4 linked regions of the Caenorhabditis elegans genome follow. The protein of the gene in region 3 purifies or fractionates together with the protein of the main gene of each other region. This does not show direct contact. Each region holds a gene or a part of one and is shown on either strand. Other genes may lie near its edges.

Evidence for each region.
Region 1: the proteins of alh-8 (region 3) and K01A2.5 fractionate together in Caenorhabditis elegans (co-fractionation; one large-scale study listed by BioGRID). This does not show direct contact.
Region 2: the proteins of alh-8 (region 3) and qdpr-1 fractionate together in Caenorhabditis elegans (co-fractionation; one large-scale study listed by BioGRID). This does not show direct contact.
Region 4: the proteins of alh-8 (region 3) and Y47G6A.21 fractionate together in Caenorhabditis elegans (co-fractionation; one large-scale study listed by BioGRID). This does not show direct contact.

What each region holds. Positions count from the first base shown.
Region 1 is NC_003280.10:299,453-306,551, reverse strand, and holds K01A2.5 (AB hydrolase-1 domain-containing protein), read right to left. Parts: upstream 4,148-7,099; 5' UTR 4,138-4,147; coding exon 3,856-4,137; intron 3,797-3,855; coding exon 3,643-3,796; intron 3,432-3,642; coding exon 3,320-3,431; intron 3,200-3,319; coding exon 2,950-3,199; 3' UTR 2,893-2,949; downstream 1-2,892. Other genes in the region: col-69 (Nematode cuticle collagen N-terminal domain-containing protein), read left to right, coding at 1,022-1,195, 1,245-1,458, 1,745-2,368, 2,456-2,628; K01A2.6 (AMIN domain-containing protein), read right to left, coding at 5,785-5,886, 6,452-6,568; B0432.1 (Serpentine Receptor, class T), read right to left, coding at 6,817-6,987, 7,034-7,099.
Region 2 is NC_003281.10:13,388,818-13,395,526, reverse strand, and holds qdpr-1 (Dihydropteridine reductase), read right to left. Parts: upstream 1,618-6,709; 5' UTR 1,609-1,617; coding exon 1,525-1,608; intron 1,467-1,524; coding exon 1,363-1,466; intron 1,306-1,362; coding exon 1,182-1,305; intron 1,130-1,181; coding exon 861-1,129; intron 807-860; coding exon 677-806; 3' UTR 548-676; downstream 1-547. Other genes in the region: dnj-17 (DnaJ homolog subfamily C member 21), read left to right, coding at 2,192-2,503, 2,548-2,841, 2,896-3,026, 3,074-3,244, 3,997-4,304, 4,361-4,602; T03F6.3 (Glucosamine-6-phosphate deaminase), read right to left, coding at 4,814-5,116, 5,501-5,695, 5,762-5,844, 5,898-6,120.
Region 3 is NC_003280.10:11,726,769-11,734,651, reverse strand, and holds alh-8 (putative methylmalonate-semialdehyde/malonate-semialdehyde dehydrogenase [acylating], mitochondrial), read right to left. Parts: upstream 5,598-7,883; 5' UTR 5,574-5,597; coding exon 5,547-5,573; intron 5,387-5,546; coding exon 5,330-5,386; intron 5,276-5,329; coding exon 5,103-5,275; intron 5,056-5,102; coding exon of another isoform or gene 5,046-5,055; coding exon 4,538-5,045; intron 4,480-4,537; coding exon 4,030-4,479; intron 3,976-4,029; coding exon 3,619-3,975; 3' UTR 3,454-3,618; downstream 1-3,453. Other genes in the region: F13D12.8 (Col_cuticle_N domain-containing protein), read left to right, coding at 2,282-2,393, 2,829-2,975, 3,233-3,426; F13D12.5 (uncharacterized protein), read right to left, coding at 6,326-6,568, 6,616-6,715, 6,763-7,150, 7,203-7,413, 7,460-7,586, 7,639-7,835. UniProt on the Caenorhabditis elegans protein: Probable malonate and methylmalonate semialdehyde dehydrogenase involved in the catabolism of valine, thymine, and compounds catabolized by way of beta-alanine, including uracil and cytidine.
Region 4 is NC_003279.8:3,555,295-3,563,680, forward strand, and holds the start of Y47G6A.21 (DeHydrogenases, Short chain), read right to left. Parts: upstream 4,514-8,386; 5' UTR 4,503-4,513; coding exon 4,338-4,502; intron 3,735-4,337; coding exon 3,642-3,734; intron 3,275-3,641; coding exon 3,095-3,274; intron 3,038-3,094; coding exon 2,931-3,037; intron 2,868-2,930; coding exon 2,804-2,867; intron 2,109-2,803; coding exon of another isoform or gene 1,939-2,108; intron 1,880-1,938; coding exon of another isoform or gene 1,747-1,879; intron 1,703-1,746; coding exon of another isoform or gene 1,321-1,702; intron 1,253-1,320; coding exon of another isoform or gene 1,063-1,252; intron 993-1,062; coding exon of another isoform or gene 641-992; intron 588-640; coding exon of another isoform or gene 491-587; intron 440-490; coding exon of another isoform or gene 287-439; intron 1-286. Other genes in the region: Y47G6A.22 (DeHydrogenases, Short chain), read right to left, coding at 4,700-4,858, 4,912-4,975, 5,953-6,059, 6,111-6,290, 7,244-7,476, 7,529-7,550.

The sequences.
Region 1 (7,099 bases), about 11 Mb from region 3:
AAAGGGGAGAGTTGAAATAAAACAAGGTCTCAATTATTCCAACAGGTATTGTCTTTATTTTGTAGTTCCATTTGAAAATAGTCACATTTGAAAATTATTACTGAGAGGAACCAGTTAAACTTGGTGGAAAACGGAAAACTCAAAAAAAATTGGAATGGCCTAGAGCTCCCATGAGGTCGCCGCTACGGTGCCCTCGCCGGCCTCCCGGCGTCACTCACTCCGCTTGTATCCGAATGTATGTAGCGGTGCGGTACCCCGAACACGTTAGGCCCGCATTTTGCGTCTCACTTAGCTGGGAACCCTAGCGTGGTCTGACAAACTATTTGAATAGCTTTTAATCATAAAACGCTTAAACTTTATTTCTTGAAAGCTTTTTGAATTTTTTTTTCAAGAAGGGTGAAAAAATTTCAGATTTGAAAAAGGATTCAGTAAATATATTCATCCCGAAACATCGAATGAGTCTTGAAATCACTGAAACATGCATTGAAAAAAATTCAGAATACTGTTAAAACATATGCTTTAAATGAGATGAGATTCGTTTTGAATTCTGCAAGTTAACATGCTTAATTCCCTATTTAAATGTTAATGGAACTCATTTTGCACTTTGAAATTATGTTTATATAACTACCTGAAAGAAGAATCGTATTAAAATTCCACTATCAATTTTTATCAACTCACTGCCATTATAGTGGTTATTGACTAACTGGCGCCACGTTTATTCATTGATAGTGCTTTCAAAATCTTAATGATTCTTCCTTTATTAGGAATAATTTGGTTTCCGGTGGAACTTTTTTTTGTCAGAAAAATAAAATCAAAAATCAGTTTGTTAAAAAAAATTCTACCAATTGAAATATAATAAGTGGTATACATATGCCAATTGAATTTCCAAGTACTTTTCGCGCATTGAAAAGATCCGGATTTTCCGTTCCAAAACCTTCACTTTATGCGCCGCCCGTCTCTATTTTCAGCAGGAGAGGGAGTATATAAAAGACTAGTTCTTGCCGCAAAACTTCATTAAACCATGAATTTGAACCAAAGTTGTTCACTGAAAAAGTTTCAATTATCTACAGTAATACGTGTGTCTTTCATCGCTTCGTCCCTATTGATTTCGTTATGTCTGTTTTTGATTATGATGACGTCACGGGAAATCTCCGAGTTCCGGGAGCAGACTCTGGATGATTTAAAAGAATGGAAGGTTGGTCAGACTTTTTATTTGCCTGCACCTGGACAAAAAAGTTTTCCAGTACTTCTCCGACGCCGCGTGGAATGAAATGACGTCACTGACAATTCGAAAAGCCAGAAGTCCATCAACGACAGGAAACTCTGGAAATGCCGGAAAACGATTCTGGGCAAAACGATCTTATGATAGTTATGCTCCGCAGCAAGTGAATTCGTATGCAAGAGTGAATAGTTATGCGACTGCACCCGTTTTACAGCATCCAACACAACAGCAATGCAGTTAGTTTTTTTTCTTCAAAAAATAACATCCATTTTGCGGGCGGAGCTTGGATTCTGTGAGAATTTTCGTTTAAAAAATGGGAAAGCTCGTTCAGCAAGATACATTTGTGAGCGGAGCCTAATATCCATTTTTTGGGCGGAGTTTGGTCACAATTTGACTATTTGAACATCTTGTATCTCTTTTTTTAGAAGAAAATTATAATTTTATAGAATTTTGCGAAAAACGGAAAAGATAAAAGGGCAAAAACTAAAAACGAGACTACAAACTACAAAATTCAATTTTCAGATTGTGCCCCACAAGCCAACAATTGTCCACCAGGACCACAAGGCCCCACTGGTTACCCTGGAGCTCCTGGAGAACCGGGCTCTCGGGGTCTCGATGGACGTCCAGGAGCCAATGGTGTAACCCTTATAGCTTACGATCAAGAGATTCCAGGTTGCATACAATGTCCCCAGGGTCCACAAGGTCCTCCTGGTGCCGTTGGGCCTTGTGGACCTTCTGGAATTCCCGGGCTCCCAGGGAATCCCGGATACACCTCTCCTCCAGGACTTCCTGGGCCACCGGGGCCTTGTGGTGAAGCTGGACGGGAAGGTCCCAATGGTACACCAGGCCTTAAGGGAGAGCCTGGAAATAACTCGATCCGTCAGATATCCCTACCAGGCCGTAAAGGCCCTCCAGGACTTCCTGGTCAATGCGGACCACCAGGGCCACCTGGATATACACCGCCTCCAGGACCACCAGGAACACCTGGAGTTCAGGGAGAAGCTGGACAGGATGGAGAACCAGGGGTACCTGGAGTTACTGGCTATCCAGGAGTTCGTGGGCCACCGGGGCAGGATGCTGAATATTGTCCGTGTCCACCAAAGAACGCAGGAGTCAATCGGAATAGTTATGTGCAGCCGGCACCAGGTAGGCTACTTTTTTCCATTAAGTAGGCGGGGCTGATATTACGGCCTAAAAAAACTCAAATTTCAAATTTCAACATATTTTTTACAGTGTCCACAAGCTACGCCACAGCATCCCAAAGCCGTTACGTGTCAGAGTACAATAAAGAGGATGAGTACAGGAAACGAGTGCTGGCTCGAGTGCTCAAGAAGCAGAGACGACTACTTTTGGCGACAAGAGCAAAGAATGTTCGCCGGAAGCCTGTTAGTCACGCTAGTCCGTAATTATTTTTATTTTTGTGAAATAAATTTGTATAAACTTTTTCACGGACGTTTCCAGAAAGTATACTGTCCCAAAAATTTTAATTGGGCTTCGCATGGGCCCCGCCCACAAGGCTCGGACAGAAACCCTTTGTGAACGGGAAGATTTTTTTTCTGGAAATTTTAGAATTTTTTCTGAAATTTTCTTTTGGCAAAATTCCTAATGAAATCAGTCATTTTGTGGGTGGAGCTTATGAGTGTAATAGCGAAATTGCTTGAGACCAGGACGAATTTTTTATAAACTTTATTCTTCACAAAATACAAAATACAAATTTCATATATTTATCATTTCTTCTCCGTGCTCTTCAAGAATTCCAGAACCTTTCCGGAAAACCATTTGGGATATTTCAAATAAAAATCGTGTCCTCCTTGTGCATGAATCTCAACTTTTGCCAAACTCTTGAGCACTGGGATGAAGCATACATTCGGGTCACCACAGAACCGGTCCAATCCACCATTCATCACTAGTGTCGGGCATTTGACTTGTGGAAGTACCAGGTCACACGGGAAACGGCCACCGCAGAACGAGTGAACTCTGAAAATTCGTTTGGTTAGGTAGGAAGCAGACGTAGGTCGCCTTGAAGGTAGTTGGCAGACATATTTGTGCCTACAGGAATATACACAACTTCGCATAAGCCCCGCCCACAAAACTCACTGATCTACGACGTCACAAAGTGCCGCCCATTGTGTCCGGAGTGTTTCCGGCGAATAATGGTCCAAATATGGTTGACGACCGGCTGCTAGCCAATGATTTGTTTCACGCATTCCTGAAATTCCAAAAATTAATTTATAAAGAGCACAAAACCAATAGATGGCCACACCCATAAAATGGACGTTCGATTTATTTTCCCATAAAAAATCTTGTAGGTAGGTAGGCATAAATTGCTGCTTCTATGTGGAAAAATGGGCCATATTGGTGTCAAATTAAGAAATTTCATTAAAAAACAGTAATCTTCCAAATATATCTAAATATCTCACCCTTGAAAGCCATGGCTCCTAGATGATTAACTTTTGTTGCACCAGCCATTACAATCATTCGATTCACTTTTTCCTTTCCTTTAGCTGCCACGTGGACCGTTGTTCTAGCACCTTCTGACCACCCCATCACGGTGAACGGCTCTAGTTTCAGGGTCTAAAATTTGGAGGCTTTTTGAAAACGTAAAAATTTTAATTTCAAAATTAAAAGCTCACCTCCATTAACCCTAGGCAATATTCACTATCCTTCATACATCTCTGAACTTCTTGTTTTCGCTCTGGAGGTCTTGAGGTACCGTAACCTGGAGGATCAATCCCAACAATTGTGACCTGATCTGGTGGGAAATGAGAGAGCAATTTGAGTGGCCAATCTTTTTTATAGCAGCCGACAGCACCGCAAATCGCGAGAATGTAGTTCGGACCGTGGCCGTATTTACAGTAACCGATTTGAGTGTCCTTGATGTGTTCCGAACTTTCGATATAGTCGCTTTGAGTCATTTTTCTTTTGCTGAAATTTATTTAGGTGTTTAATTTGTTAATTATGAGGTAGCGACGGTGAGGAAATTTTCCGGATAATATAAATGTTTGAGACACCTTTGTGACCTTTGAGACCGCACACCTTTGAAGTACATCTCCCCGATTTCTTCTATCCTAGAAAGAGACGTAACAAGGGTCAAGGTTCAAATGTATTGCTAAGAGAACGCCTCTTGTGGTGTGGTAGTACTACAGTATTTACAACCTACTAGTACAGTAGGTCGTATATATTGTTATTGTCGATGATTTACAACCACCGGATTGACCTAGAATTAACATAGGTATTTGAAATCGGTTTAGGCCAAATAATTATGGTTCCGCGACATTTATAGAATTCGGAATTTTCTGAAGAGCGAGAACATGTATTGTGAACCTCTACAATATTTAAATACAGAAATGTAGAGTACAAAACATTGTTTTTTGATCGACTTCCAGAATTATGATACGTGAAAACTGATAGTGAATATTAAATTATTCGAAAATCGGACACATGGAATTATTGATCTCAAAAATTCGGTGAAATAGGCTAAAGAGGAAGGAAAACCAAAGAGGAAATTTTAAAAGTGCATGTATTTGAATGACGAATAGTTCTACGAAAAAGATTTTGAAAGTCCGATAGGAATGAGAAATTTGTAGCCTACAGATTAAGATTTCAGAAGGAATTTGGACAAGACCGGATTAATTTTGTGCCTGTAAGCTGCGGAAAGTTCTAGAACCATCTGGAAAATACGAGAAAGTTTTGGAATGTTCTAAAACCTTCTGAAAAATTAGATAGAATTCCGGAATGTTCTAGAACTATCTGGAAAATACGAGAAAATTTTGGAAGGTTCTGGAACCTTCAGAATAATTCGAGAAAATTTTGGAAGATTCTAGAAAGGTAATAAAAATTATTAAAAAAAACATAACCACTAAAACACCGAAACATCTAGTTATTTGTAATATAAATGTGTAGTTTCTAATAAAAAGGAACTATGAAACAGTAAAGTAAACCTTTTGATTTATACTGGGAGAGTATGCAGATTTCAATCTAGGATATGAGGGTAAATAGGGAATAACAGGTGAAAGTGTACAAACGCAGTCGGAGGAAGATGTTGTTAAGATGAAAGAAGAAGGAGAAGAACACAGGCACTTGGACACACAGAGGGAAATAAATGGGAAATGAAAGGGAAAAGGGATATGGAAGAGACAGAAAATTGTTCCTATTGTCTGAAGGTATTGTATAAAACCGCAAAGAGGAAATTGATGATCGAATCATGTGATTTTGCGGGGAGTGCTGAAAGCATTTTTTTCAGATTTGTCAAGCTTGGGTCTTTGATCTTTTAGGACAACACAGTTTTACACATCTGGAACAATGCGGCTTCACCCATGTTGTCGAACACAAATAAATTTTTATGAACCAAATTTAATCAATAAAACTTGAAAATTACAATATTAGAGAAAAACTTGAAGACGATTTTCTCATTTTCCAGTATTCCCTTGTTTCCGTGTCAATGTCCAAGACTCCACTTCCACTGGATCTCCAAGCGGCTCCCATTGATCCGTGAGCTGTCCTTGTCGATCTCTGAATACTCTAGCTCGTCTTAGGATTCTTCTATATACTGTCGCAGGGTACTATGTGTCGCAGTGTTCATTGGGGTCCTGCCGGTTGACAACTTGCACAGGGACTCTATCAAAGTTTTGATCATGAAATACAGGTAGTTGTTGCGCTGTTCCCTGGAAGATTGGATTGATTGAACAATTTTTTTAGCATCACCTTTTTAAAATATCAGTTTTTAACTGGTCGGTTAAAAAATCCATATATGCCTGCCACCCGATATCATCATTTTAGGTGACTAGCGGGCCTATGGGCCCGCCAGCCCTTCGGGAATGGGGATAGGGTTAATTCGCTCTAAGTTATTAGCAAGGTAGCTGGCGCAGGTTCTCGGCTTTGCCTCGAACCTGTTAACGGGTTATTCGAGATCTCTTTGAAATTATTTCAGGAGTGGGGTATATGTTTAGAAAACTTGACTATTCAGGTTTGAGGCTTCGCCTCGAAGCTCTTACTGTGTAAATTGAAATCTCTTTAAACTTTGATTCATTGCTCCAGGACCGACACTGTACGAATAACTTAGGCTGAGATTTTGTTCAAGAATAATTAGAATGTATTCAATAAAATAAGTGAACAAAAATTAGGAACAGAACCGTTTTGAATGTCATGATGTATAGGTTCCTTAAGAATAAAATATAATTGTTTCAAACTGACGGGTTAATAATGTTTTAATTCCCTTAATCCACTTACCAGATCGACTTCAAGAATCCTCCTGGAAACAATTCTCGACTCTCCGGACAAAATCACAGTTGGTACATTTTGACAAAAAGCATAGGAAATAAGTAAAACGATTCCCAGAAGAATCATAGCAGCGAAACTGAATGAGGAACTTGTTGTCAAACGATAATAAGCTTATCAGTTCGTAGACTAATGATAAGACTAACATGCTAACTGGTAGGCAGTTGCAAAACATCTAGAGGTGCTTTCCATTTGCTTGCAGGAATCGTCATTCTTGGTTTTTGGATTGTATGCTTTATTATTATTAATGTTGTAACTTAAATAAATAAACGATCAAATAAATAGAATTTCACAGAAATTATAACATCAAAATCCTTTCAATACTTTGCGGACACATTGAGCACCGGGATGGTGTTAGAGGTGCCGTTTCGAATGGAAATTTCCATTACTTGGCACATGAAATTCGAGAGATCACGGCGGACACGTGGTGTGAAGAGGAAGATGAAGATTGCATTGGAGACGGTTAGCATGTAGAAGACGACGAAGAACTGGAAAAAAAAGTTTGTAAGGGGGCTGCGAGCAGACTTAGGTTACCCATTCATGCATGAATATGATGATTCCCCAGGTGATAGTGAATGCCTCGAAGAGCTCGTACATAAG
Region 2 (6,709 bases), on a different chromosome or scaffold from region 3:
GACTAATAAACTGCGGGTTTCTCTGTTTTCTTGTCATATCAATATGGTGAGAATTGACGAATTAAACTAAAGATTTGGGACAAGAATTATGTAATAATACGCTGAAAAAGAAAACGAAAAAAAAAAACAATTTTTCGGTAATTTAAAGGAGCATGAACAATATGTTGTAGATTTTTAATTAAAATCGTTTCAGGACCCATCGCAAAAGTGGTGTGCCCCTTCCAAGGTATATTTTCCATTCTCTGAATTCATAATATTTTGGTAAAGTTATTTTCAACGTAATTTGTATAAAATCTTTTGCGAGTTTCTAGCAAATTTTTACTTTTGCCCCGAAAATACGGTACTCGGTCTCAACACGACAAACTTTGATTAACTTCGAAAAGGGATGCGCCTTTAGGGAGTACTGTAATTTTGTAACATTTTGTTGCCGTAGAATTTTCTATAAATTTAAAGAAAATAGGGAACTAAAAAAAAACCATAAGAAATTGTCGCGTCGAGACCGGTACCGTATTTTCAGCAGAAAAATTGCAATATTTCGCATCTAGATAATAAAACATTTTTACTTAAAAACATCACAAGCTTTATGGACAAATGATTTAGAAATTGATAGCATACTACATGGAAAAATAACAGATAATAAGCGGAATGTAAAAAAGGCTGAAAAATGTCGGTAAAATTATTGTGGAGTGATAGTCGATGTTCCATTTTCAGTGGTTATTTTGAGGAGAGCCCCGGAAGATGGACGGCTCGATGTTTCTGTGGTCCATTTGAGAAGATGTTCAGAGATGAATGAGAGTGGAGTCCAGCTGAAAAAAAAACATAGAAAACTATGCAAAAGAAAAAGAGTAATTTAATTTTACCTTGAATGATCAGCATTTGGCATCCATTTTCTGTTCATTGGGGTGTCCAAAGTGACTGGCATAATTGTCAAAACGGCCGAATTGTCAGGCAATCCCGAATCTTTGGCAGCCAATGAAGATGTCAGATGATGAACTGCAGCTTTTGCCATACCATATCCAATCATTGATGGAGTTGGTCCCATAGCAGCAGCAGCTCCTGTAAGCTGAAGAAGACCTCCCGGCTTGAGGTGAGTGGTGGCCAATTTGGCTGCAATTGCTGAACTCCAGACCTGAAAATTCACGGTAGAATAATACCAGATGTTTAGGATTAATATATGTTACCGATTGTTTGATCATTAAATCAGCATTTTTCACAAAATCTTTTGAAGAAGCGGAGCCTCCAGCCCATCCACCGGCAACACAGAAAACTCCATCAACCTGACTTCCCTGGAGAGATGAAGCAGTTCTGCAAATATTTTATGAGGTTACGGTAGCTTTTTTTTAAATTAAAAATACAACTTACTGCTCGAGAATGGATTGTTCTTGTTCTGTCCAATTTTTATTTCCGTCCACCAAAATATTACTGTCAGCTTGGTCATTGGCACTCAAGTCGATGTTTAGAACAGTCTGAAAATTAATGAAAATTAATTTACAACATCCTAATTCAATTTCTTTTAAAACTTACATAACCATTTTTCTTGAAGAATTCAAGAATAGCAGATCCAAGTGCGCCTTTGCCTCCGTATACGATAACTTTTCCACTGGACATTGTTCGAAACTGCAAGGAAAAAGTAAAGAATGACAATATGGAGGTTGAAGGACAAATTGGCCGCGTGGACGACGTCAAGGACGATTTTAATGTGATACTGGTATCAACGAGTGATCAGAGACACAGATTTTTAATGTTAAATGAGGGAAAACTTGATGGAATTCAGGAAAATAAAGATGAAACAACATTTTGGAAATCGGTTTCCGAGCTTGAACTCGAAACGAACTTTTGTTATCGAGAGTTTTATCAGTTATATTTTTGCAAGAAATTTGGCAGACATATCAATCGATAGCTCTTATTTAGCTCAACAACATTTAATATGAATCACAACAGGAAAATGTGAATTAGCTTCTCAGAATTCGTCAAAACATCGTGGGAAAAAATATAGGAAATTATTTTTTTACAATTGCGCTCTAATGTAGATGGCGAGACATCGTGTGGAAAGGAGAGACGATAGATAACTTTTTCTTTTCATTTAATTCTTTTTCTTGTTTCTATTATTATTTAAATGGTTTCGCATGAACTATTCATTTCAATTTATAAAATAAAATCATATTTAGAGTAAATTTTAAATATTTCAGCTATGAAATGCCATTACGAAGTGCTCGAAGTTGAACGCGACGCTGATGACGATAAAATCAAAAAGAACTACAGAAAACTAGCGCTCAAATGGCATCCCGACAAAAATCCGGATCGCATCGAAGAGTGTACTCAGCAATTTAGGCTTCTTCAAGCTGCGTACGACGTTTTGAGTGATCCACGAGAACGCGAATTTTACGATAGACATAGAGAAAGTATTCTGAAGGGAAAAAATACGGATTTCGAGGAACAATCCACGGATTTGTTCCCCTATTTCACCGCTTCTTGCTATCAAGGATATGAAAACGATAAAAATGTGAGAATGAAATCTAAAAAGTAAATCAAAATTATAAATTACAGGGCTTCTTCACTGTCTACCGGAAAGTCTTCAATATCCTAGTTTCTGAGGAATATGATGCGTACAACGATTCAACAATAGTCTATCCAGAGTTTGGCGACAAGGATACCGATTTGGAGCAAACTGTGAATGGTTTCTACGGTTTTTGGAGCTCTTTTTCGACAACTCGCTCTTTTGCCTGGCTGGATCATTATGATATCACACAGGCTTCAAATCGATTCGAATCACGGCAAATCGATCAGGAAAATAAGAAGTTTAGGGATGTCGGAAAGCAGGAAAGGAACGAGCAAATTAGGGTATGATTGTCCGGAATATTTAATTTTAAATTTAAATTTAACAAAATTTTTCAGAATCTGGTCGCTTTTGTTCGAAAACGTGATCCACGTGTCAAAGCATATAGGGAAATTTTGGAGCAAAAAAAATTGGAAGCACATAAGAAACAAGCTGATAATCGAAAAAAGCAGATCGCCAAAAATCAAGAGTAAGTTCCGAAATTGTGAAAAATAAGGAAAAAATTGAATTTTTCAGGCTAGCCAACTCATATCTGAACGACAAAGAAGCCGAGGCAGCCCGTCTTGCTCATTTGATTGAAGTTAGTCTACAAATGGCCGAGGATTACGATACTTGTAGTGATGAATGTGATGAAGAAGGAGAAGAACTTCCATATTGTGTTGTTTGTAGCAAATCGTTCAAAACTGTGTAAGCAGAATATTATAAAGACGCAGAAAAATGCCATTTTTGAAATGGAGATGCAAGTACGCTTCACGGAAAAATTAAATCGCTCCGCCTCCAAAGTTGGGTCTTGTTAGGCATTGGCTGCAAAACCTTAATTTCAAACGATTTTTGTTTAAAAAAAAGCTTAAAAAATGCACAATAATCGAAACATTGAGAATTGAAAAACGAAAATTATAGATTTATCGGAACTCCTTTAAAAAATTTTTTTTTGATCTTTTAAAATCGAAAAATCTAAATAAAACGTTTAAAAAATGAAAAAAAAGAAGAAAAATTGAAAAATTTGAGGTCATTTTTCTAAAAATCAAATTTTTTGAAATATTGAAAAAATTTTTAAAAAAACATCGAGAATTTTTTTTTCGAATTGGAATGAACCAAAACTAAAAAAAAATCGATATGTAATTTTCCGATATAAAAAAAAAGAAAAAAGACTAATTTTTCTTATCAAAATATACAAAACTTTATAAAAAAGTTGAAATTGTGTGTCAATTTTCTGAAAAATAATTTTTTTGATTTTTTGATTATTTTAGAAAAAAATGAAAATCCTTGAAGAAAAGTGAGAGACAAAAAATACGAAAAAATATTGAAAACGTTTAAAATTATGGATTTACCGCCACTACCTAACGAGACCCAACTTTTGTCCGTGGAGCGCGCTTGCACCTCAATTTCAAAAGTCTGATTATATTCATCTCTATAATATTCTTCAAACTTAATTTCAGAAACGCCAAGTTGAATCATGAGAACTCGAAGCAACACATCCGTCAGCTGAATGAGCTGAAAAAGCATATGAAAGAAGAAGATTCCACGATTTTCACCGAAGCAGAACCGAAACCCGACGAAACACCGAAAGGAAAGAAGAATAAGAGAAAGGATAGGAAAAAGGGGAATGGAATATTTGATGTGGAAGAAACAGAAGCAGTAGAAGCCGAGATTCAGGAAGCGCCGCCCGTGGAAAATGAGCAGCCGGAGGAAGAGGAAAAGGAATGTACCCCGGAAGTTGTTAAGAAAGAGAAAAAGAAGAGAAGAGGTACATTTTGTAGAATTGCAAAATCTTTAAAACAAAAACAAAAATTTTGTTTTCAGCTGATAAAAATCAAAACCCATCGGCGACAGTAGAGGAAGAAGCACCGAAGTCAACTGAACCAAAATCTGCAATTTGTGATAAATGCCGTGAGGTATTCGATAGCCGGACCAGGTTATTTGCTCATTTACAAGAAACCGGACACGCCACGTTGCTCATCAACAAACCAGGAGAAAAAGGACAGAAGAAGGCGAAAAATAAGAAGGGACAACGTGGAAATAAGGGGGATGATGAGGATTGGTGAAACATTTTTTTTTTGGTATTTATTCTTGTTCTAATTGTTTTGTTTGTGAAAGTTTAATAAATATTTTTCAAAATTCAATTTTATTGAAATGTTTCGGGAAGAATAATGGGCAAATAATGAGTACCAAAATGTTCAATATTTAGTATTCAAAGTTACAGTGAAAGTTACAGTGAAAATTAGTGGAAGGGTACATGAAAAAAAGTAATACAGATTAAAACATGACAAGTGAACGATGATGATTCATTAATCCTTTGAAATATTTGACCGTCTTCACTTTCAACTCCAACGTGGCATCTTCGTCGGCAATAAACGTTGCACATCGATGCATCTGCATCGCAGAGACCGTACACATGTGAGAGATTCCGCATTCGATTGCCTGATGAAGAGCCAGCGCTTTGTGTGATCCTGTGATGAGAATCATCACTTCACGAGCATCCATTACAGTCTGGACGCCGACTGTCAGAGCTTGTGTTGGCACTTTTGTGATGTCTCCACCGAAGAAACGAGCGTTAGCCTGGAATTATTATTTTACTCCTGATTCCAAATATCTATGTGCACACGCGGTTCTGGCTCATTTTGACTCGGCCAAGGCCGGGGTTTAGTTGCAACGCTAAATGTATTTGTCCGTGTGGAGTACACGACTTTCCAGCAGGCAATTGTCAATGTAGCGCGAAAAATTCAATTATTTTAAGACGACTTTCAAACGCGCGTCAGAAACATTCTCATTGGAGCGCGCTGTGACATGTCAATTTACGAGATGATTGACGTTTTCCAACAAATTTCGTTCAATTTCGTCGGATTATTGTTGTCAATGGAACATTTTTTCCGACAAAACTGAAGAAAAATCGTAAATCGACACAACACGGCGCGCTCCATTGAGAATTTTTCTGGCGCGCACCTGAATTGTATCCTCGTTGAGGGTCTTGATACGTGTACGGCTTGCCAGCGAACTTCCGGGCTCATTGAACGCAATATGGCCATCTGGACCAATTCCACCGACAAATAAATCGATTCCGCCAGATTCTTTGATTTTACGCTCGTACTCTTCACACTCCTTCTCGTGATCAGACGTATTTCCGTCGAGAATGTGAATCTGAAATTATTGACTTTGGAACCACATTTGGCGAAAAAAAAAAAACAACAAAATCAAAAAAATTACATTAGCTGGATTAATGTCAATGTGTCGGAAAAAGTTGTCAAACATGAAGGAGTGATACGATTCTGTATGGTCACGTGGAAGATCTGGAAATATTTATTAATTTCAACTAATTAAAGAAATATCAAATTTTTCTCACCGACATACTCGTCCATATTAAAAGTTTTCACTTTTTCAAAGGAGATAACTCCGGCATTGTAGAATTCGATGAGTTTCTTGTACATTCCGAGTGGAGTTGAGCCGGTTGGCAGTCCTAAGACGAGATATTTTCCATTTTCAGTCGCTTCATTGATCTTTGTAACGACATATCGAGCAGCGAATTCGGCGACTTTATCGGCGTTCTCCTCGATAATCAATTTCATTCTGGGCTGAAATCAAATTAGAAAATTAGGAAAAAAAAAGAAATTTCTAGAAATCAGAAAACTTTGAATAATTTCAATAAAAATGAAGAAATTTGACCGTCTGGTTTACTGTAAGTTTTAAAGGCGCACACAGAAAAATAATTCTTGCGTCTTGGAGGGAAAACACTTGTTCATTAATTATTTTTTTCAAAATAATATTTTTTTTTTAATTTCAAAGAATTCCAAAAGAGCGCCATGTAGGAAAAATGGTAAAGTTAAAATAGTGAAATCGAATCAAATTTAAATACTGAAAATGACAGCCTCGTTCTTGATAAATATGTTTCGAAATTTCGAAAGTGAGACAAAACTGACAATTTTCGCGGCATTTAACCTATTTTTGGCGCCGGAAAAACTGCTGAACCGGAACTGTAGAAAAGTCAAAATGTTCACTTTGACATCAACTTTCGAAATTCTATTCATTGCAAATCGAAAAAAATTCTTAAACTCCAGAAATCGTTCCAAAAATCGTAATAAACGAAAACTGGCCAGAATGTGCAGTTTTAAAGAGCAGTCAATGCTTATCTTATCGAACAATTTGTTGATAATTGAC
Region 3 (7,883 bases):
AGAAGAGTGGGAGGATTGAATTGCAACCAATTTTATGCACTTTTTTGGAGCAATTTTTTAGAACTATCTCTACTTTATCTCAAAGGTTTTCTTTGTAGGATGGTCTACGTTTTTAGCTTTGATTTTTTTGGAATCTGGTGTCAATTTTTTGTAAAAATTTTGTTTAAAAATACTCAATTTTTGGAACGTTATAATATGATATTTGTGCTTAAATTTTTTGTAAAAAAATAATAACTATCAAACTATTTAAAATTAAATTTGCAACAATTACTTAGTTGGCAACTTTTTGATAACTTTTTCCACTGACCAGATATGAAAATTTTTCGGAGAAAATTGGGCCGATTATGTGCTTTTTCTAATTTAAAATAATTTATCTCCAAAACAAACTAACAAAATATTAATCACAAAATTAAAACAATTAAAATAAAATAAAGTAATCATTATTATAAATATGCACATGATTTCCTAATTAAATATAAAACTTAATTTTTCGAACACTCACTATTTTGGCAATAACTTTGAAATTTCCCAAATGGCCGAGTCAGTTTCCAAAATGTATATAACCTTATCAGTATGCCTAGATCGCCGAAAACCCCGAACTAAAAAACTAAAAGAACATGATCATTATCTGTATGTCTATTCTCATCTCCTCCTCCTATTCCAAAACAACTCAAACTCAATTTCCCGCCGCCGGAAATGGAAGGGCGTGGAGCTATCTATTTTTTGTTGCGAACTGCAGATATCACAACTTCCGAGCGGGGGTTTCCGGTTTTTTTGCAGAATTTTTGAAATGTTCTCATTGGAAATTTAAATTTTTCTTCGGAAGTTTTCATATATTTTTGGAAATTTTTGAAACCTAAAGTTGCATATGATTTTTGACACAATTATCGGAAATACTCCTACACATGCGTGCGAACAATTTGAATATTTTTCCATTAGTCTGTACTTTTTTCTGCTGAAAAGTGCGTGTTCATGCGAAAACTCGGCCATTTCGCAAAAGCTCTAAACTTTTTTAATTAACTTTTATTTCCTATTCCTCAAAAAAAGTCATTTTTGTCAGTCTATCGAATTTTCAATTTGATGAACTCTGTCCCTTTTTTTTATTAAATTAATTTCGCTTCTTGCACTTTCCCGACTTTTCGCTTTGGACTCACCACTTACGGGGCCGCAAATAAAATCGATGACCGAGTTTTTTGACTGATTACAAAAAGCAAATATTGTGGCCGAGTTTTCACTTCCGCGGCCCGACGGGATTGCGATTACCAGGCCAAAACAAAAACGGCATTTGGAGTCTCGTTTGGCCACGCCCACTAATAAAATGCTACGTGTCCGCGAAAATATGGCAATTTAGCAACTTGAGAAAACAGGAACTTGATATCAGTTTTGTGAAAGAAAGAAAAACTCGGCCACTAATTTTTTTCGCGGCCACATAGATTTTTTAACAGCCACAAAAAGACAGTGGCCGAGTTTTATAACATTGGCTTTTATATAAATTTACCTTATCGTCGGCTTCATTGCTAAGCCTAAGCCCAAGCCTAAGTCTAAGTCTAAGCCTAAGTCTAAGCCTAAGCCTAAGCCTAAGCCTAAGCCTGACCCTAAGCCTAAGACTAAGCCCAAGCCCAAACGTAATCGTAAGCCTAGCCTATGTCAAAAGCCTAATACAGATCCTAATTATTTTCTTATTTTCCTTATTCTAAAAATTGAAAAACAAATTACAGAGCCCCGTTTTTTCCCTAATAACCTAGGATTAGAAGCTACAGTACCCGTACCCAATTTTCTTCCAAAAATCCCATTTTCCCGAACGGATTTGCATTCTCTCCTGTCATTCCCATTCATCATTAGTCGAGAATGTTTTAGGGAAAAAGGAGAAAAGAGAAAAAGGCGAGGCGCCCGCCGCAAAATTAATGGACTCTCTCCTGCTCTGTGTGCATGTGTGCTCCGAGTTGAGCAGTCCCGTTCTGCTTCGACGAGTCCATATGTTTTGTATGCGAAGTAGGGACTTCCGAATTGATTGGGCCAATATTCATTATGTATCGACGACGGCCTTTCCCCTCTCTCGTATGACAAATTCTTCTTGTCTTCAAACGCTCATAACTTTATTGCCAGGCTAGGTAGACAAAAACTGTCAACTGGAAAAATGTAGTACACAATTTTTTCTACATTTTCTACATTTTTTTATTACCTACAATGGGAAAGGAGATATAATTCATTTTGTTTCCCTAAAATTCCATCTCAATTTCCAGATTGATCGTCATAACATTCAGCACCTGCTCATGATTGAATGCGTTGCGTGGTTCGTATTATTCTACTGACCTGTTTCATTTTTGTCGCCTTCATTTATTTGGCCGTCTCACATGCGAATTCCAAAATTGTGATCGCTTTTGATGCAAATGGTAGGCTTTTTTCGAAATTTCGTTATAGTAACCAGTTGTTTAAAGGCGCAAAATTTTATAAAACTTATTTAGAGTTAAAAAAACATCGAAAATTATAAGTTATTACGTTTTTTCATAAAAAAAAGGTCTCGACGCGATCAAAATATTTTCAAATCTACCCAACAAAAAGTATGCACCTTTAAAATTACAGTAACCCATTTCCCGTTATTTCGCAATCTTCGCAAATGAATTTTTACAAAATCTGAAATATATCAATATTTTATGAAAAATACGATTTTGAAAAATTCAGCGAGAATTTCACAACTACAGTAGTCTTTAAAAGCGCACACAATTTTCCTGCAGAAAACTTCCGGTCGCGTCGAGACCCTAGCAGTACCGTATTTTTTGGTGAAAAAATTACAAAATTCAACAATATTCCTCAAAATATTTTTTCAGACGAGGAAGCCCGCCGAATTCTGGACAGCGCGATCCCGTCGCCGACGGTCGCCAGTCCATTCAACAACAATGCACCACAGTCGATGTCCGTTTCGGTAGCATTGGTGCTTATCGTATCACTTATCAGTGTTGCTCTTCTTATCACAGGTTAGATTATTATGAAGACGCAGAAAATGCGCTCCACGGCCAATTGGAACCGCTCCGCCTCAAATAGTTGGGTCTCGTTAGGAAAAACTGGTAACTTGAAAGTTACCACTTGAAGCTAATTGAAAATGCTGAATTTTGGTAGAATACCTAATGAGACCCACGGTTAGGAGGCGGAGCGTTTTCAATTTGCCGTGGAGGGCGTTTTCACGTTGATTGGGCATTTTTTCTACGTCCCAATAATATTTTATATTTTCCAGGTATAATCATAATCGCCGTCACGCTAGATCCAACTTCAAATAGTGAGGAGGATGAGGAATCGGATTTGGAAATCGACGAACCCACGGCGGCTCGTTCCAAACGGAATGATAAACAGATTGCCGATCCGAATAGTTACTATCCACGTTTTGATTATGATTTCAATCATTCGAATACGATTCTCTCTGAACTGTGATTATTTTCCCCCATTCCATTTACGGGTCTAATCGTCACTTTTATGATAAAATGTGTATTATATATGAACAAACAAGAAATGAGAGGTTGCAAAAAACCATGGCAATAAACGTTATTGAACAAGAATAAAAGAACCAAGAAGTGATTGTGTGTGGGGATGGATGAGAGAATTCAGAATTCACAGAATTTCAATTTACTTGAGCTGTGGGAACGACATTTGTGGCTTCAGCTCGGTGAGCGACTCGTTCCAGTATTGAGTGACAGTCTTCCATTGAGTGTAGAACTGGATTCCGGCCTTTCCGTAGAAGTTGAGATCTCCGAGGAATGAACCACGCGAGCCGGTGAACGAGAACATTGGGAGTGGAACTGGGATTGGCACGTTGATTCCGATTTGTCCGACATCGACTTCGTTGGTGAACTTTCTGGCGGTGGCTCCGTTGCTGGTGAAGATGGCCGTTCCGTTTCCGTATGGGTTGTTGTTGATGATTTCGATGGCCTCGTTCAAGTTCTCGGCCTCCATGACGACAAGGACTGGGCCGAAGATTTCTTCCTACAAAAAATTAAATATTAAATTAAACAAATTTAAAAAAAAACAAAATCTTACTCTGTAGCAAGTCATATTTGGCTTGACTCCAGCGAGAATCGTTGGTCCCACGAAGTTTCCATTCTCAAATCCTGGAACAGTGATATTGGATCCATCAAGTGGAACCTGAGCTCCCTCCTTCTTGGCACTCTCGATAAGACGGAGGACACGGGCCTTGGATTGCTTGGAGATCAGTGGTCCGATGTCGGTATCCGGCTTCCATCCAGCGTTGACCTTCAAGTTCTTGGCCTTCTCGACGAGTTCTGGGAGCCAGGCGCGAGCTTCTCCGACGAGCACAGCGGTGGTGAGAGCCATGCAGCGTTGTCCGGCGGCTCCGAAGGCGGCAGCGGTGAGCTGATTGAGGGTCTGTTCTTTGTTGGCATCAGCCATGATGACTCCGTGGTTCTTGGCTCCCATGTTGGATTGGACGCGCTTTCCGTTCTTGGCTCCACGCTCGTAGATGTGTTTTCCCTGAAAAAATCATGAAAATTGATTAATGTTCATAAAAAACAAATTCAAAAAAACTTACAGCAGCATCTCCTCCAACAAATGAGATAGCCTTGATATCTGGGTTATCGCAGATAAAGTTAACAGCAGAGTGCTGTCCGTGAATAATATTGACACATCCATCTGGAACTCCGGCCTCCTTGGCAAGTTCGACAAGAAGCTGAGCTGCTCCTGGATCCTGCTCGGATGGCTTGATGACCATAGTGTTTCCGGTGGCCAAGGCGACTGGGAACATCCACAATGGGATCATAGCCGGGAAGTTGAATGGACAGATTCCGGCGGTGACTCCAAGTGGGATTCTGTAGGAGTGGGTGTCCATGTCGCGAGAGACATTTGGAAGGGTCTCTCCCATCATCAGGGATGGAACGGAGCAAGCGTGCTCGACGACCTGAAGACCTCTGCTGACGTCTCCCTCGGCATCTGGAAGGGTCTTTCCTTGCTCAATGGTGATGCTCTCAGCGAGCTTCTTCATGTCTCTCTTGATCAAGGCTTGAAGTTTGAACATGCATTGTTGACGGGTCAGTGGGGATCTGGAAACTTCTATTATTGAAATAAAAAAAAAAGATCACACGGGATTCAAGACTCACGTGTTCTTCCAGGTGTTGAAGGCATTCTTGGCCGAGTCAACAGCGGCTTGCATCTCAGCTTGGGTGGCGTTTGGCACCATAGCGATGACCTCGTTGGTGGCTGGATTGGTGAGCTCCACGAAGTCGGTGGTCTTCGATTCAACAGCTTGTCCATCGATCCACAGCTTGACAGTCTGAAAAATTATGGAATTTGGATTTGGAAACTTAAGATCAAGCCTGAAACTCACTGGTGCGGCGGCAGCAGACTTCGATGTGCTGAAGTGGGCGAGCTGTTGGCATTTTGGCTGAAATTAGAATATTATTTGAAGTTTTGAAGTTTTGATTGTTTGATTTTCGTTTTCTTTTTCAATGTGTCACCCCATACGACAACTGTCGCACAGACTGCAAGTGATGTGTGAAGTACACGATTTTTTGTTAAAAAATATTATAAAAAGAAACTCCTACCTGAACACGAGCAAGACGAGACAACATTCTGGGGTACCGCAAGTTTTAGAGCTGAAAATTAGAAGATAATGACTGAAAACGCACGAGAAGAAAAATTGAAAATCACAAGAGATGGGCGGTCGCGTGGTGGTTCTGACGATTCGGATAATGCGAAATGAATGAAAACTAAACATTACTGATCACGTTTCGAATTTTGAACTAAGAAATAAATAAAATAAGCCACAAAATACACGCGAACATTGAAAATTAAAAGGTTAAAAGCTCTATCTGCGAGTTTTTGAAGTTTCAATGCTGTTGATAAGACGACGGGAGGAGTGGCAAATAGGACAGAAGAAGAAGAACAGTTGCTTTTCTCTCTCTCTCAGCAAAAAAAGAAGAAAAAGAAATAAAAAAGAGTCAGAGAGTGGGAAAAGTGATAGTGCAAGAGACTAAGAGACGGCCACAGCACGTGGAGAGACCTGCAACTGCCCACCATTTGACCCGTGTGCACTTGGAGAAACGTGATCGATGCGTCTCGAAAACTCGAATACAAAAATAAAATAGTGTTGGTGAATAAACAACGTTAAGATAAAGATCATTAATTAAAACAAATAAAAATGCGGAATATTTAATTTTATATAAAAAAAAGAAACAGAAAGTGCTAGGAAATGTGACAAAAAAAAAAGTAAAAAATTAAAAATTATGAGATGAGAATATGACAGTGTCTAGTGTCTAGAAGGATAGAAGGCTAGAAAAGATTGAAAAAGAACGAGAATGCTATAAATTCAAATAAAAATGATTTAATTCCACTTGTCGACGGAGACATCCAAAAGTCCTGGCTCATGGAAACTCGCTGGGAAGCTGCGCTGTTTCGCGATGAAGATGGAGGCTTCAGTCTCCTGATCCTGATGATGAGAGGCCTCGTCAGCCGAGACAAAGGACGATCGGAGCCAAAAGATGTAGACGCACTGGAGAATCACGAGAAGGATTAAGACGACGCAGAACACGATCAGCCACATCATCGCGTTCACATTGCTGTCGGTCTGGAAATATATTTAATTTATAAATTTCTTCAACACAACCAGCTCACCTCAGACGGATTATTGCGAGCCAGGTAGTCTGCCTGCTCGTTTTCACAGCTCTCCTTGTTGTAATTCTTTCCATCTCTCAACATGCAATAATCGTTGGCCCTGAAATTATGAATATTAAATTCGAAGATCGATGATTTCTTCAAAACCTGATGATGAGGAGCTTGTTGGTCTTCGGAACAACACTGTAAATCGTCTCCGCGTTACAAGTGATACTCCATTCCGAATCGAGTGTTGTCAGCGTTGAGGACAGGGTCTGATGCGTTTCGTTGACATCTCTCACACTCGTCTCGTAGAATACTCCGTTCGAGACACCTTGGAGTTCGCCGCTCAACAAGGAATTTTCGATTCGTCGTCCAGCCATTTTTCCGGTGATAATCGGCACGACATCTTTGATTTTTGCTTGGAACATCTCCACGTGGCCATTAATTCGCTCCTTGTAGTAAACTGCATCGGTGTATGGATCCTCGACCCAATCGAACAGTCCATTCACAGCGTGGCCAGTGTACTTTGCGATGTGCAGCTTGTCGAATCGATCTGAAAATAAAAAATTATGATTAAAAGGCAGGCTTATTAAGCAAGTGATTACCGCTGAAAATGCCATGCAAGTAAATTTGCTCGATATCGTAGAATGGAGGAGCTGAAAAGTCCAGGTAAAGCATGTGTCGAGTCGTGTCGAACATTGAACGGGCCAGATTTCTCTTCGCCTTTCCTCGAGCCCCGTCTTCGCGGTAGATCGACTCTCTTGACCCAATGTTCTCCTCCCGCTTCCCGGAGTTCTTCTCGAAGCCATTCGACATCTAAAAAATACGAAATTCAACACTTCAACCACTATAATAAGCATACATGCAAATCCGTGATCTTGATATTGTAGGTGAGACTGTCTTCTGTGACAGTCAACACCCTCGGCGCATGGATGCCATCCGGATCTCGGACCAGGTGAACGCCGACAAAGCGGTAGGGAATAGGCTCGCTGAAAATTAACATTTGTTAAATTATTTTCGAAATTTTCCGGCAAAACAAACCTTTTCGGGGATTCCATGACCCGCGGGCATTGTCCCGCTTCTACGTTCGCTTCGGCGAATCTGTAGTTGTCCTGCTGCGCGATGAGCAGGTACTGCTCGGTTCCCACAACCTCGGCGACGGGCGAGTGAGCCGCCTCCGCAGCCGAGTGGAACGCGAGCAGCGCGAGCAGCAGACGAAGAATTGCTCGTCGGCTCATTTTCTGAAAATGTCGAAAATGATTTTGAAAGAAAATTTCGCGTAGAAA
Region 4 (8,386 bases), on a different chromosome or scaffold from region 3:
ATAAGTGAAGATATATATATCAACCTGTTTTGGCAATGAGGCTGTCTGAAAGTAACAGGTTCGCGAAGAGAAACTGTTTTTGCACGCCGTCCGCGTTCTGACCGCGCCCCATCCGCGCCCATTCCGCACTCCTTCCGCACCCCTTCCGCGCCCCGTCCGCGCAACACGAACGACAATCCGTTATTACGCTTGCAGTTTATAATTTTTTGGCACATTTTCGATAATTTTTATTTAATTGTTTCCAACATTGTAAAAATATTATTTTCTTTTTGTTTTGTACAGTAACATGCCTAAAGTGTATAGTTTCAGGGCTTTTCTTCAAGTTAAATATGGTGACCGTGAAATTTTCACCGATTGTTCCATCAATAACAAAAGTATCTCTAAAATCAAGCTTTTCGGAATTGTACGAGTATCGTGGACTTATCGATTAAGGAAGAAGGTAAATAAATTGCCAAAAACATGTAAATCAAATAATTCAATCAATTTTCAGATGAAAATTGGATTGTGTTGGAAATCCGCCAGGCGAATGTCATTTGTGTCGTCTACTCGGTTACAGACGAGTCCACTGTTGATGGAATTCAAACAAAGTACGTTTTCATTGAAATTATCTGTTAAAAAATCAATAACTTTGAATTTTCAGGTGGCTACCCTTGATTCGCCAGTCCTTCGGAGAGTACCATAAGACTCCGGTCATTTTGGTAGGCAACAAATCAGATGGGACTGCAAATAATACTGATAAGATTCTCCCCATAATGGAGGCAAACACCGAAGTCGAAACTTGCGTTGAATGCTCGGCTCGCACGATGAAAAACGTCTCAGAAATCTTCTACTACGCCCAGAAAGCTGTGATCTACCCAACAAGGCCATTATACGATGCAGACACCAAACAACTGACAGATCGCGCCAGAAAAGCACTGATTCGAGTCTTCAAAATTTGCGATCGAGACAACGATGGATGTCTTTCTCCGAGTGAACTTCAGAATCTCTTCTCAGTATGCCCGGTTCCAGTTATTACCAAAGATGTCGGTTAAAATATAAAAAATAAAATACATTTTATTTCAGCTTTTGATTGCTTATCCCTCGTTTTTCCGTTATTGTCCGTCCAATTTTGACTGATTTCCGATCACTTCGGCACGTAAAAGTCCGCGAAATTGGAGATTTTCACTAAATTTTATATAAAGGAGGAGAAGCGGACCTAAAACTGCACGAATTTGCACGAAAAAATGACAATTCAATAAAAATATAATTCCAGGCAGGTGGAAATTTTGAAAAAAAAGATCTTCATTAAAAATTCATTTTATTCAGTTTTTGTAATTTCAGGTCGTGCTGGGAATACACTCGACTCGATCAGAGTGACTCGTGAACGGAAGAAGGATCTAGAAAACCATGGAACCGACCGAAAAGTCTTCCAATGCCTGGTAGTCGGAGCCAAGGACGCTGGAAAAACAGTCTTCATGCAATCCCTAGCAGGACGTGGAATGGCTGATGTAGCACAAATAGGACGTCGTCATTCTCCATTCGTTATCAATCGTGTCCGAGTGAAAGAGGAGAGCAAGTACCTGCTTCTGCGTGAAGTTGATGTTCTCTCACCACAAGATGCGCTGGGGTCCGGCGAGACGTCGGCGGCCGTCGTCGCTTTCCTCTATGATGTCTCGAATTCATTCGCGTTCTGCGCCACAGTTTATCAGAAATATTTCTATAGGTGGGTTTTCAAGATCCAATTCCCAATAATTTCAATATTTACAGAACAAAAACGCCGTGTGTCATGATTGCCACAAAAGTTGAACGGGAAGAAGTTGACCAGCGTTGGGAAGTGCCGCCGGAGGAATTCTGTAGACAATTTGAGCTCCCGAAACCAATCAAGTTCTCGACGGGCAATGTAGGCTAGCTTATAAGCTTATAAGCTTCAACTGCGGTTTCACCGTCTTAATATTTCAGATTGGTCAATCCTCTTCACCGATCTTCGAGCAGCTCGCCATGATGGCAGTTTATCCACATCTCCGTCGTGTTTTCTACCTCAACGACTCGAATCTTCTCTCCAAAATCACATTCGGCGCTGCCATAGTAGCTCTAGCTGGTTTGCAACACCAGTCTCTCGCCGTCTAGGATTCAATTGACCTGCAGCCAAGCTGTCTTCAATCCGTTAATTTTTTAATTTTATTTTTCCATTGTTCGTTGTTGTAATAAACGCAATTCTTATTAATCTAAGATTTCAATTTTAATATGAAAATCGGCGGGAGCGAGAAAAAAATCGAACCGGGCGCGTAGTGTGTGCGAAAGAAATGCGCTCGGCGCGCGAAAATTGTGCGACTAGATCGCGAGACAGTAGTCTAGTCGCGCCCCGTCCGCGCGCCAGTCGCACCCTCGTCGCGCGCCAAGGGAGCCAAACTACCGAGTACAGTAGTCATTCAAAGAACTACTGTAGTTTTCGCTACGAGATAATTTGCGCGTCAAATATGATGTGCAGTACGCATTCTCAGCATTTCGTGTTCCCGTAATGTCGCTGTGTAGAATTTGACCCACAGAAAAGGGCGCGCAAGGAATAATGGGCGGAGTTGAAAATGCAACTCCGCCGCACTGTTTTTCGTCTATTTTTCCGCATTTTTAAAAATCAAACAATCAATTTATCTTAATTTGTCAGGTTGAATAATCGAAATCTTGCTTTAGAATTACTTTAATTATTTGATCTTGCTGTGAATATTTTAAAAAAACAGTTAAAATTTTAATTAAAATAGAATCGTGCGGCGGAGTTGCGCTTCCGACTCCGCCCATTACTTCTTGCGTGTCGTTAGAATAGACTTACTGCCGCATATGTAGCTTCATCCTGCCCAGATGCTCGATGAATGTTGGTTACAATGACTCCTGGGCTGAAATTTATTTTAATTATTCTCAATTTTTGGGCTCTTAATATGAAAATATTTAAATCTCACCAAACAGCATTAACACGAACTCCATTCGGAGCCATTTCCAGAGCCAAACATTTTGTGAATTGATCTACGGCCGATTTGGACATACAGTAATATGTGACCCCAGCGAACTGAAAATTGCGAATTCGAAATATATTTTTTTTTAATTTCCAAAAGAAAAATCATACAGGGCACGGTCCATTAATACTGCTGACATTGACAACAGTTCCTTTTGTTGTAATAATATGTGGAAGAGCTGCACGTGTCAGGCGGATCAAACTACGAACATTCACATTCATTAGCTCATCGTAGACTTCAATTCCAGAATCGAGAACTGGTCCGGCACGCAGAATCCCGGCCGAATTGATCTGAAATTTAGAATATTTTAAGGGTAGAATGGGAAATTTCTCGAAAAAAAAACTATGGATCCTGGAAAAGTGAAGTTTTTTATTTTTCAAGTTTAAATTTTGAATAGTATTGACTTCATAAAATTGAAAAAAAACCTATTGTAGTTCCGCAATTGTTCCTGGGATACGAACTTAAAGGCGCACGCAATTATCTAGTTGGGTCTCACCGCGCAAAAACATTTTTCGTGGCAAGACCCAACCGAATAAATCCGTGATCCTCTATGTACGCGTTTCTGAAAATTTTGTAAATAATAAATGGATAAACTCTAAATTTCCGAAAAACTTTTCTCTCGATAGTTTCAAATTGTTTCGAACTGAATATCCTCACCAATGAGTCAATTCTTCCGAATTTTTGTACAGTTGCATCCACAATTGCTTTGGGCGCCTCATCAGAGCTCAGCTCCACTGCAGTTATCAGAATCTGGAATGAAAATCGATTTTTTAATTGATGTCGCTATTTTTTCCACCTAAAAACGTTCAATCCCCTTTTTTTGCAAAATTTTGCGATTTTTGGTCTCGAAACGACATAATAAAATTCATAGCTACAGTACCTGCAAGTGTTTGTAATTTTTAATGATTTTTAGTATACTTCTTGATATTCGATGAGTTTTAATATTTTTTTTTGTATGTGTCAAGACCATGGCGGCGGTTTTTTTTAATTAAAAAAATAATTTTTTTTGTTTTTTCGACAAAAAAACGGTGTTTCCAAAAATTACAAACGAGGAAAAAAAATCGAAATTTTTTTGTGATAACTGCTATCATGAGAACACAAAATTCTGAGAATGCGTAATGCACAACATAATTGACGCGCAAAATATCAAAACTACAGTAATTCTTTAAATGACTACTGTAGCGCTTGTGTTGATTTACGACACCAGAGTTACAGTAGTAATTTGAAGGATTACTGTAGTTTTCGCTACGAGATATTTTGCGCGTCAAATATGTTGCGCAATACGCAATCTCAGAATTCTGTGTTCCCGTAATACTGTACTTTCCGTCACAGTTCCTAAAATATAAAACTCACATCATCAGCCGAAATTGCACCCTCTGAAATACATAGTGCTGCGACTTCCTTCAAAGAATCCGTATTTCTTCCGGTCAGCGAGAGTTGGTACTTTTTTTTCGCGAACAGAAGAGCCGTGCCTTTTCCGATTCCCGAACTTGCTCCGGTGATGATGGCGACTGGCATTTTCGGATACTCTGAATAAATTCAAAACTGAATCAAAAAAAAATCGATTTTTTTTCAAAAAAAAAAAAAATTAAGCAAGGAAAAAACCACTATAAAGGATTCAATAAAAACACAATTAAAAAAAATACATGTATCTCTCTATTTATTACATGATAAAAGTTCAAAACAATCTCAATATGAGACAAAAAAGCTAATATTTATCTCGGATGCATGATTCCGCGGCCTCCGTCAACACGAAGAAGTTCTCCAGTAGTGAATGAACTTTTCTCAGAGGCGAGGAAATAGATTGCCTCAGCAACTTCATTGGCATCACCGGGACGGCCGAGTGCGTGTGTCGTTTTACTACGTTCCAAGAACTGAAAGAAATGATGATATTTATTTGTCAAGGTCAGTGCAGCAGGTTTTATACCGCAGAATATGTTGTCTCGTCTTGACCAGATGTACGATGCAGGTTGGTCACGGTGACCCCTGGGCTGAAATTTTTGGAGAAATGACAAATTTATATGGGTTTATTAAGGGAACACAATATTTTGAGAATGCGTATTGCGCATCATATGTGACGCGCAAAATATCAAAACTACAGTAATTCTTTAAATGACTACTGTTGCACTTGTGCCGATTTACGGGTTTTTTTATTTATCAAAAGATTATTGAAAATGAGAAAATAATACGAAGAAACGAAGAAAATAAATTAATTTCCAAAATCGAGCCCGTAAATCGACACAAGCAGTACAGTAGTCAGTTAAAGGATTACTGTAGTTTTGATATTTTGCGCGTCAAATATGTTGCGTAAGACGAATTCCCAAAATTTTGTGTTCCCGTAATACGTGTGTTGTTAGCGTTTCATTCGACAAAAAATGAGAAAGTTAGCGATTTTTGCACCAAAATACGGTAACCGGTCTCGAAGCGATCTTTTTTTTTTCAATTCAAAAGTGCGTGCGCCTTTAAAGGAGTACTGTAGTGTACTGTAGTTACTTACTCCTAGTTTTTGCGAGATTTTTAAAGCAATTTTCCATAGTTTAGCTCCTGTCTTTTAAAAAATTCGTTTTTATTCAAAAAATATAAAAATGCATCAAAATTTGAACAAAAACAAGAAAACCTATGAAAATTCGGCAAAAAGTTAGAATTTTCAGGAAATTTTCCTAGTTTTTTTTTGTGATTTCGTTCTTACTCATATTTTCCGATAATTTTTCGATTTTTCGAAAAAAAAAAAGCCAAAAATATTTTCGATTTCAAAAATAAATATTTTTCCGATTTTTCGCAAAATATCTTGAAATTTTGACAATTTTTCTTCTTTTTGGAAGAAATGTATATGTTTTCTTATTTTTCGAATATTTCTTTAAAAAACCTAAAAACCGAAAAAATCGTAATTACAGTACTCCTTAAAGAGAATCGATCGCTTCGAGACCTGGCACCGTAGTTTTTTGGCAAAAATCGCGAGAAAACTCACCAAACAGCATTAACACGAACTCCATTCGGAGCCATTTCGAGAGCCAAACATTTTGTGAATTGATCTACGGCCGACTTGGACATACAGTAATAGGTTACATTTGGGAACTGAAAATTGCGAATTTGAAAATTATTTTCAACAAAAAAATAACATCATACAGGGCACGGTCCATTAATACTGCTGACATTGACAACAGTTCCTTTTGTTGTAATAATATGTGGAAGAGCTGCACGTGTCAGGCGGATCAAACTACGAACATTCACATTCATTAGCTCATCGTAGACTTCAATTCCAGAATCGAGAACTGGTCCGGCACGCAGAATCCCGGCCGAATTGATCTGAAATTTAGAATATTTTAAGGGTTTAATAATTCAAGAATCGGTTGGAGAGTTTTTTTAAATGTTTTCGTTATCCCCATATTTTCTTTTTACAGGTTGGTGCAATTTTTCTCGAAAATAAAAATGAGAAAACTCTTTAGGCAGAAATTTGGAAAATTCGAAAAAAAAAGTATCTAAAAAAGCGCGCAAACTTTTTTCTCAAAAAATTTTAAAAAATAAAAATTCTAAGATCTCTGAATCTTAATGTGAAATGCGACAAAAATAATTTTAATTTTAAAAAAAATAATTAAATTTGGGTGCAAAACTGAGCTACAGTACTCGCATATACTACAGAATTTTTTCAAATTTTCCTTCGATTTTTATATATAAATTTTAATTTTTCAAACAGTTTTTTATCGAAAAGTATAAAATTCGATGAAAATTCCGCAGAAACAAAAGAAAATACAGTACTCTTTAAAGGCGCGCACCTTTTTACAAGTTGCAAAAATTAGTCGTGGTGAGACCAGATACCGTATTTGTAACGCAATAGTAGTCGCAAAACTTCACATTTGGATAATTTTCTGTGCATTTTTTTACAAAATTCGCAATTATTACGTTTTCAAAAAGAATTTTGAACTAAAATTTTTTATAACGGGAACACAAAATCCTGAAAATGCGTAATGCAACACATTTGACGCGCATAATATCTCGTAGCGAAGACTACCGTAATTCTTTAAATGACTACTGTAGCGATTGTGTCGATTTACGGGCTTTATTATCTTGATTATGAGAATCAAGCCCGTAAATCGACACAAGAGCTACAGTAGTCATTAAAAGAATTACTGTAGTTTTCGCTGCGAGATATTTTGCGCGTCAAATATGTTGTGCAGTACGAATTCTCAGAATTTTATTTATTTTTATGTTCCCGTAATAGTTCTAAATTTTATTATAACTTTCCAAAAATAACCCCCCACCAATGTGTCAATTCGTCCAAACTTTTGCACAGTCGCATCCACAATAGTCTTCGGAGCTTCTTCTGAAGCCAACTCAACAGCGGTCACCAGTACATCATTCTTATCACTTCCAGCACTGACAATTTGCCCGGCGAGCTCATTGAGAGCCGCCACATTCCGTCCGGTAAGTGAGAGCTTGTAGTTGTTCCGGGCGAGAAGAAGAGCCGCCGCACGTCCAATACCAGAACTTGCACCTGGAAAAGAGGGGAGAGGAATGGAATTTCAAGTATTTAGAGTCATTATTACCTGTGACAATTGCGACGGGCATGGTTGACCTGCAAAATCAAAATTAAAATTAAAATTGAAAATTGAAAATTGAAAAAAAAATCTTTGAAACAAATAATAAACGGCATCCTAAAAAAACGAGACCCAGAGAAAAATACAAATTTTGTTTTCTCCGCTCCTGATAACACATCACACATCAGGAGTTCAACTTTTCCAAATTTTTTTGCGCGTAAACTGTGGTGCATTAGGTACATGACTCAATGCATCACATTTGACGCGCAAACTTTTTTATTTCAAAATCCATGTCAAACTGTGGGTTACTGTAGTTGATATTTGAAAAAATTGCTATTTTTGTGCCAAAGCTACGGTGCCTGGTCTCGTCGCGATAAATGTATGTTAAATGTAAAAAGATGTGCGCCTTCAAAGAGTACTGTGTCAATGAAAATTCCAAAACGAGAAATTACAGTGCTCTTTAAAGGAGCACACCTTTTCGTATTTAACAAATATTTGTCGTGTCGAGATATGGAGAAAAAAATCGTAAAATTTTGATGCAGAAAAATGCGATTTTTGAAATCGAGGTGCAAGCGCGCTCCACGGTCAAATGGAAAAGCTCCGCCCCCAAACGTTGGGTCTCGTTAGGTATTACCGCTTTTTTGCCGATTTCACCTGTTCTCAAGCATTTTTTCGTGTTTTTTCAAGATTTTTATATCGAAATTATGTTTTTAAAATTGCATTTAAAAGGGAAAACCGTTATTTAATTTGATTTTCCTTAATTTCGACACATAAAACTAGTAAAATCGGCAAAAAACCATAAAAATTCCCGGTTGTCTCGCCAATACCTGACGAGACCCAACGTTTGGGGGCGGATCCTTTTCAGTT